Linked DNA regions of Arabidopsis thaliana. The protein of the gene in region 1 interacts with the protein of each later gene in a pairwise test. Each region holds a gene or a part of one and is shown in the gene's direction. Other genes may lie near its edges.

Region 1 (4,797 bases):
TGTATAATGTAAGAATAGTCTTTGTTGTTGAGTTGCACACAAAAAAAAAAGTCTTGGTTGTTGACTTTCAGAAAGAAAGTAAAGTTAATAATTGATATTTTTTAAAGAGTTGATCATCCGTAGGAGAAATAATTAGTGGTAATTTAAAAATATCTCTTATTATTTACATTAGGAAACCATACTTTGATTATCCTTAGACATGTCTTTATAAAACTCGCATGTTAGATCAGCTTACAATTGTTTAGTATACAACTCTTCAGAACAAAGAGACTCTTGTATTGTGACATTTAAACAAAAATACTTGATTTTTGGAATGATTACCGTCTCAAAATAGTTAGATAATTTTTTTGCTAAAATGATTGCTAAGACTTTAAAATAAAATAAACATAAACTAGAGAAGTGAAACTGTAGTTTTATATAGTTTATAACTATATACAACCGTATATATTTCTCATAGATGTGATCCATGAGATTGTATATGCTCCATTGTAGATACTTGAACTAATAAGAACCATTCTTTTATTAATAATTTTGTTGTCTAACAATTGCTTAAATCTCTGTCAAATTTATAGCCTCTTATCTAGAAAAATGAGATCATAGATATTCATAGTAGGATGTGAGTGGCTCCAATATGTCTTTGAAGAAGTTGTTTAGTGGTAGGAGAAAAATTATTTCAAGACTCTGACTTCATTTCATGAATTATCTATTATTCATATAATACAATTGCTTATGAGTTATCTTGCATCCATTAAAATTTGCTAAACATAGCTAGATCTTCTTGTCGGATACTTCTTCGAGAAAGAATCTTGTTTAATTGGCAATTATCACCAAAATTATATAAGTGGTTGTTGATACACAATCCATTATCAATAACACTAATGATCACATAATCTGTAATTTTTCATTACATTACTCAAAAAAATTCTATTCAAATTTGTAGAAATCTCACAAAAATATAATTTAATAGCAATGTATGGATGATTTTAATTCTCAGTTTACATAAGGAATGAAATTATATATTATGAGTTACATATATATTGTATGCTATGTATCTCTCTAGCACAAAATTAGATTCATAACATATACTATCACCTATTAACATTAATTTATATGTCATACTACATAAATTAATATGCGAAATTATGGATGATGCACAAAACACATTAGTAAGAAAATAAAAATCCCTAAAAAAGTAAGAAGAATCTTTCTTTAATCAAACGAGTCCGAATTTAGGAGAAGTGAACGAATTATAAGGGTTGTCCTGTTGAAACGACTAGTATGAACAAGAGGCGGACCAAACGACATATAAAACGAGCTGACTAATATTGGACAAGCTCGATGGGTTTGAGGACGAGCTAATAGTGCACTCTCTCTATGTCAACATAAAGTGTAGATCTTGTGACAAGACTTGCTATTTTGTATTTATAAGAACCAAGATAGGACATATGTCAAAGTAAATTGGTGGATCTACCTTCCGACCTATTGACATGGTTTCGGCTTTTTATAGACGCTAACTCATCGATTAGGTTTTCTTCCAAACGAATTTTAAGTTGAAAATAGACCCAATTACCTTAATTATTATTGGACATTGTCCATTCCTTGAGTTTATTCCAATTAAAACCTGAATTGGAGGAAGCCCAATTCTTCCCTCAACAACTATGTTACCCATCTCCTCTTAATATATAAATTTTTAAAATATAAAAGATTATTATTAATTAAGAAGTTTACAAACACTTGTCAAACAATAACCATAATAAAACTGGAAAAAGAATATATTATATTCTAGATATTAACCAAAAAGCTTAATATCATTTTCAAACTATTGGTAATTAACTAATTGTTCTTGAAAAATGTAGTGTCTAATTCCGTTTCAAAAAAGCGAGTTAACATTTGGAAGCCTTAACTCTTTTTTTCAAAAAAGTAAAATGAATTGAAATTTGAAATGAGTAAAAAAATCAAAAGCAGAGCCAATAAGATACGTACACGTCATAGCCGACTCTAGCACAAACGGTGTGAAACGAAAATATAAACGTCGCTACAAAAAAAATCGTCGAGACAAACCAAAAAAAAGCCTAAAAAGCCGACCTTTTTTCTTTCTTTCTCTCCTCTACCTCTCAGCTTCTGCTGGATCTCTCCAGCAGACACGATCTTGTTCGGAGAGATTCGTAGGGTAAAGGGTTTCTCTTCTTCTCTATTTTGCTTTCACCTTTATAATCTTTTCTGGGTCTCGATTTTGTTTTCTAATTTCATTTCCATTTCGATTCGATTCCTCCTTTGTGTGGGAGGCCTTTGTTCGGTCAACTTATGTGTTCTGTTTTTGTCTCTTTTTTATTGATTAGGGACCGATCTATCAAGGCTTCAAGGGCAAACAGGTGAATTAGCTTTTGGGATTTGGTTTTATTTAGGGTTCATTTGTAAGCTGTTGATGTGAATTCTTTTTTATGGTTCTCGATTGTTTAATGATTTGATTGTTTGGTTATATTTGCATGTGGGTTTTGTGTGTGTTTGGAAATTTGAATGAATTGATGTGAAAAGTTGTAACTCTTGTTTTTGTTGATTTAAAAGGCTAAGTTTTGAAAATTTTCATTTCTGTGGAGAGAGGTAGTGTTGGATATGAGTGATATTAGCTATGTGGGTTTTGTATGCTTTTGAATTTTGAAATGAATTGCTATGAAAAGTTGTAACCTAAGAAAGGTAGTGTTAGATGGAAATTAGATTAGTATGTGAGTTTTGCATGTTTTAGAAGCTTGAAATGAATTGCTTTGAAAGTTTATAGCTTTACGCTGATATAAGAGGCTAATTTCTAAGTAGTGTTGGATAGAAATAAGATTAGCTGCTCTAATGTTTTTAAAATGATTCATTTATGATTCTAATTTGCCTAATGAATGTGGTACTAGGTGCTAGGTAACCTAGACACTTCTGTTTGGTTGGGTAGCTTATTGTTAGAAAACAGGTCAGCAAGATTTGTTTGTCTGTTTCAGGTTCTAGAGTTAGCAGAGAAATGGCTCTAGGCTTGCTTTTGTTCTCTTCTTTCTATTTAGTTAAAGATCCTGAATTATAGGAAGGTGCTTATAGGTAGTGTGGTTATAAACTATGAAGATCATGTGTAAGGTATCCAGATAAGTTATTTCATGAAAAGAATTGTTCATCTGCTTATTTTCATGTGTATGTTTTGCACTGATTTTCTAAGGCAACTGATGATACTGATTGGGTTTAAATGTACTCATCATCGTGAATCTTCTGCGAATTTTTGTTTTATTTTTCCATGTCACTGAGACTGAAGATGGCTGATTTTAAATGTAGAAATGGACCACGACAAGACAGGATGCCAAAGCCCACCTGAAGGTCCCAAGCTATGTACTAACAACTGCGGTTTCTTTGGAAGCGCTGCCACAATGAACATGTGTTCTAAGTGTCACAAGGATATGTTGTTCCAACAGGAGCAGGGCGCTAAGTTTGCATCTGCAGTGTCTGGAACATCGTCATCCAGCAACATCATAAAGGAAACCTTTACCGCTGCGTTGGTCGATATTGAAACCAAATCCGTTGAGCCGATGACTGTTTCTGTACAGCCATCCTCTGTCCAAGTCGTTGCAGAGGTAGTAGCACCAGAAGAAGCTGCGAAACCAAAGGGACCAAGCCGATGTACTACTTGCAATAAGCGGGTTGGCCTGACTGGATTCAAATGTCGCTGTGGGAGCCTCTTCTGCGGAACACACCGCTATGCAGACGTACATGACTGCTCCTTCAATTACCATGCTGCTGCGCAAGAGGCGATAGCTAAGGCAAACCCGGTTGTGAAAGCAGAGAAGCTTGACAAAATCTGAAAATCTAAGTAAACTTCTCTGGTTTCATCAGGTGGCCTGGTGTTTCCTTCTCCTGTCTGTGTCTGGTTCAAGTATTCTCATGTTAAAAAGGTTTTATATAAGGTCGAATGAAAGCGTGCTTGATCTTTAGCGTCTTCCATCTCTCTGTGGTGTGGAACTTTCTATTATCTGTGTTTGCAAGCAGAGAAACGTGCTCTTAAAAAAAATGCTTTGTGTGTTTATCTTTCTACTATTTTTGAGCACTGTGTTATTGTTTCCTGTTTGGTCTGTATCATATTGAGATTGTCTCTGTAGCTACATGAAGCTTATTTAAAAAGGCCTGTGTTTGTCCTTCAATCAGTGATTCCTTTCAATTTCTCTGGTTGGTGAGTTATGTAACTTTGCAAAGTCATGAGCTTACTATATATGTGTATATATGGGTCGATAAACACTGAAGAGCTCGCTTTTTCCTGTTCTGAGTACGAACGCCCATAACCATAGAAGAAGGAGATGATCGTAAGGAGACAAAAGCTCCAAAGGGTGTCGTCCTCACTTGCTTTACAACATGTCCTATGTGAAAAACCGACGTCGTATCAAGTTGCGTAAGCATCGTATCAACTTGCTCTAAACGGCATCGTAGGAGTTGCTTTAAACGTCACCATACTATATACTAGTTCCTGAGGACATCGTATAAAAATGTTTGGAACTGTTTGGTTCATTGCCTACACAACAAACGGCGTTTTATCTGATTTTACCGGTTTTTTGATGAGTCATCACTGATAGTGATAACTGATGCGCTTTTGCTTCACCGCAACTCCTTCTCAACCGCAACCATTTCACTAGAGACACATGTAACTATCTCAACCGCAAGATTTGGCAAACAATCAAGCGTACGTTCGTTTTCCTCATAAACCCCAGCACCGCATCTTCTACGTACTTATTCCGCTTTCAGTTTTGTTTGATTTCACCAAAATACCAAACAATATTTTTT
Region 2 (4,366 bases), on another chromosome or scaffold:
TTCTTGGAAGCAGACAGCATTTGGGCCTCGAGATTTAAATTGGCCCAAGGTCCACGTTTACTTGGGTCAATCACAGTCAAAACGTTTTCCCGGGGTTTCTCTCAATTTTTTTGTCAAAGTCTCTCAACTTTTAAAAATACAAACACTGGGATCCTCCACGGCATGCAAAAGGATATTATAATGAAGATGAAATCAAATTGGTATAAAAAGTTGGAGAAAGGTATAAACACTATGTATGTGGCTAAAAATAGCTAGAAACTTATAATTTAGGTGAAAGAAGATTTGAGTAACGTTGTTGTTGTTATATAATAAGATGAAATAATGACAAGAAATCTGAAATAATATGCGAATATGCCACCGACGGGAGAAATACACGTGGACGGCTGATAAAGCTTTGTGAAGGAATCCCACAATAATATAAGAAGATCTGACCAAAGGTTCCTTTCTGGATAAGCCGCTCTCCTCGTGTCCACGTGGCATTTTCAAACGTGGGACCTCCTAATCTATATCACTAAACCCATCCACTCATATTATCTCTCTTTCTATCATCTAAAATCCAAAATGTTCGTCCATTTTTTTTTTTCTGTTCATAAACAAAAACTGCATTGCCTTTTAATTTATTCTTCTTCTAATCCATACAAATGATTATGGAACTATAAATCTATAATAATAATACAATTAACCACAAAATAAAATATATCTTAGTATTATAAGATATGACTTTTGGAGTTAGGGGGTGTCTAATACAAATATTATGGTATTTGTAATCTTAGCAAGAAATGAAATCACAATCATGTTTATCTTTCTTAAGATAACATATTTTACTCAGTCATGGGTCTACTTTTATTTTCAGTTTAGATTATTAAATAAATAACAATAGTTTTGTCGCCTTACTATATGACCAAAAATTAGATTTTCTCTATGTGTAGGATGTTGGCATTTGTTTACCATTTTTCTTATGATAACTTATTAAACAGATGTCATATTTTACTTATTTGTGTTTATAACTGTTAAAATCTAGTCAAGCTTTCTGTATGGAACGCGTGAAGGGCTATTAAGATATTTTAAAATGTTGAATAGTGTAATTAATCTTGTGGCTAATAATATTCATGCCAATTGTTAATTTCTGGTGGAGGGTTAACACTTGTACATAAATACTTAATTTTTCTTTTTGCAGTTTTTGTATAGATATCCATCCTTATATAAATAGAAAAATATAAGGAAATTGTAATGATTTAGCATAAGACAATTGGATAATCACAAATGCATTAAACCTATTAACTAGTCTATATAGAAAGAGTTATTAGTTACAGCTATACTATTTGTGGTGGCATTAATATATAGTAACTTATTTAAGATATATGTCATAATGTTAAAAAGAAATCACAGAGAAAGCTGTTATTTTTTTTAATCCTAAATTTAAAACTTTGGATATTGAGATTAGCCTGTAATACATCTTTTTCCAAAAAATTTATACAAAAATGGCCATTAATAATTAATAGTAATAGCTAGTTGGACTTCTTAGTTCAAAGTAATTCAACATTTTTTCTAAAATAAATCTTCTAATAATAGAACACGTTGGATTGACTAATTAAGTCAAATATGAAATATGGAAAAGGAAAAAAATCCACCAACGATACACCAAATAATTTCCGATTTTTATATATATAAATAAACATACTAAGAGCAAAAGAAAAACAAACTGAAAATAAAAAAAATAAATAAATAAAAAAAAAAATCCGGCCAGATAAATCGAATTTATGTAATAAATCCGACCAGATAAACTGATATTATTGTCTTTCTTCCGCTCCTTTGTCTCTCTATCTCTTTCTCACAATTAGATTCTGTGCTTCTTCTGCGATCAACTAAGATCCGATCCGCGAGCGTTTCAGACTTCGATCAGATCCGATTAAGAGAAGCAAATCGGGTCGGGTATGACTCGTCGATGTTCTCACTGCAATCACAATGGCCACAACTCTCGGACTTGTCCCAATCGCGGCGTGAAGCTCTTTGGTGTTCGGCTCACCGAAGGTTCGATCCGGAAAAGTGCAAGTATGGGTAATCTTAGCCATTACACGGGTTCTGGATCGGGTGGGCATGGAACCGGGTCCAACACTCCGGGTTCTCCGGGTGATGTCCCTGACCATGTCGCTGGTGATGGTTACGCTTCTGAGGATTTCGTTGCTGGCTCTTCCTCTAGCCGCGAGAGAAAGAAAGGTATCTTCGTTTGATTTCTGAGATTAAATTTTTTATCAAATTCCAAATTTTTGTAATTGAGTTTATTTTGCATCAAAGTCGTTGATTGCATTATGTAACAAGTGGTGATCTGGTTTATGTAACAAGATTTTGATGTGTGTTTGATATTGGTTTTGTTGTAGGAACTCCATGGACAGAGGAAGAACACAGGATGTTCTTATTAGGTTTACAGAAGCTGGGTAAAGGTGATTGGAGAGGTATCTCAAGAAACTATGTGACCACTAGGACACCTACACAAGTTGCTAGCCATGCTCAGAAGTATTTCATCAGACAATCCAATGTCTCTCGTCGCAAAAGACGTTCTAGTCTCTTTGATATGGTTCCTGATGAGGTTTGTTCCTTCTTCATTCAAAAACACCATTTTTATTTATATTGGAGTGGTTACAAAATGTGTTGAGATACTGATTTAAAGGATTCAGAAGCTTATTAGGTGGATTGGTTTGCCTTCTACATTTCAATATGAAAAGTTGAAGTCTGTTGGGGTTCTAATTGATATGCTTGAGGATATCATTTTGTAGCCAATCCTGCTTAAGCATTTTGGTCTTCTCATGGGAATGTGATCTTGAAATGTAATTCTCTTTCTTTATTCTGCTTATGCTGTGTGATTTGTCCTTGTAGGTTGGAGATATTCCCATGGATTTGCAAGAACCAGAGGAAGATAATATTCCTGTGGAAACTGAAATGCAAGGTGCTGACTCTATTCATCAGACACTTGCTCCTAGCTCACTTCACGCACCGTCAATCTTGGAAATCGAAGAATGTGAATCAATGGACTCCACAAACTCTACCACCGGGGAACCAACCGCAACTGCCGCTGCTGCTTCTTCTTCTTCCAGACTAGAAGAAACCACACAACTGCAATCACAACTGCAACCGCAGCCGCAACTACCTGGCTCATTCCCCATACTATATCCGACCTACTTTTCACCATATTACCCGTTTCCATTCCCAATATGGCCTGCTGGTTATGTTCCTGAACCACCCAAGAAAGAGGAAACTCATGAAATTCTCAGACCAACTGCTGTGCACTCGAAAGCTCCTATCAATGTTGACGAGCTTCTTGGTATGTCTAAGCTCAGCCTTGCAGAGTCCAACAAACATGGAGAATCCGATCAGTCTCTTTCATTGAAGCTAGGTGGCGGGTCATCTTCAAGACAATCAGCATTTCACCCGAATCCTAGCTCTGATAGTTCAGACATCAAAAGCGTGATACACGCTTTATAAAAGACCTGAGGAAGTGATGGTCTAAAATGGGATCTGGTTTGGGGTTTACAGGTTAGTTGTTGGTCACAGTAACTTAAATAAGTTTTTCTTTGTTAGGTTGTTTAACTTGGGTAGGATGTTTTAGTTCAGCTTTGATCATTAGGGAAAAGAAAAAAGAAAAAAAAAAGGGAGAAAAACAAATTATTATTTTTTGCTTACATTTCTTTATATTTGTATGCTTTTATTTTGACTCTAGGATGCGTTAATTTTCGTTTAATCTGTACTAAAAATTAGAATTTATTAGTTTTGAATAAATAAAATCACAGTTTGTTTATCCTCTGACCAAAAACTATAACTGGATTGAAAACGGAAATTAAACCAAGACGAACCGGATTTAACCGGACTCCAGTGTTGTAAGAGAAAGTAAACAAGTTCCCAAGCGTTTCGTAAGTAAAAAAACGAATGGGCTAAACAATTAGTCTAAATGGGCCTTAAAAGAGTGAATAACGTGTCATAATCAGGAGCGTTAAATTTAGGGCGATGAGTGTCGAGAGTGTTCCCGCGTTCACCGATTCACTCCACTCTTTGGTTAAAAAGTCCACTGTCATGGAAAATTAATCGCGGTGATTTACACAGATGCCACGTGGCACGTTCGCTTTCTTTTTCTTCCTCGTGTTGATTTTTTTTCTTCTCTTTTGTCCCTCTTTGGTTTTTCTTTTCCCCTTCACAAGGCGCGATTTGAGTCGCCTCGCATTTCAAACCCTTCTTCTCCGGCGTAAACCTTTGCTCTATCTCTCGATAAAAACCCTTGTTTCGTTTTCACCTTCGTATTTAGCGATGCTTCCACACTCCTACACCGTCGATTCGCTTTCGCAATCACAAGACCTAGCTTCAGCTATACTCTCAG

The links. Proteins that work in one complex are often made in the same cells at the same time.
Region 2: the proteins of AT1G51200 (region 1) and AT5G47390 interact in a two-hybrid assay, tested with the Arabidopsis thaliana proteins (one large-scale study listed by BioGRID).

Annotation. Positions count from the first base shown.
Region 1 is NC_003070.9:18,982,385-18,987,181, forward strand, and holds AT1G51200 (A20/AN1-like zinc finger family protein), read left to right. Parts: upstream 1-1,896; 5' UTR 1,897-2,170; exon of another isoform or gene 2,171-2,339; 5' UTR 2,340-2,372; intron 2,373-3,303; 5' UTR 3,304-3,305; coding exon 3,306-3,827; 3' UTR 3,828-4,250; downstream 4,251-4,797. UniProt on the Arabidopsis thaliana protein: May be involved in environmental stress response.
Region 2 is NC_003076.8:19,225,067-19,229,432, forward strand, and holds AT5G47390 (myb-like transcription factor family protein), read left to right. Parts: upstream 1-1,702; 5' UTR 1,703-1,934; coding exon 1,935-2,217; intron 2,218-2,378; coding exon 2,379-2,587; intron 2,588-2,874; coding exon 2,875-3,480; 3' UTR 3,481-3,829; downstream 3,830-4,366. Other genes in the region: AT5G47400 (sphingomyelin phosphodiesterase), read left to right, coding at 4,096-4,366. UniProt on the Arabidopsis thaliana protein: Transcriptional repressor. Direct regulator of the transcription of peroxidase (Prxs) and reactive oxygen species (ROS)-related genes via the recognition of 5'-ATCACA-3' motif.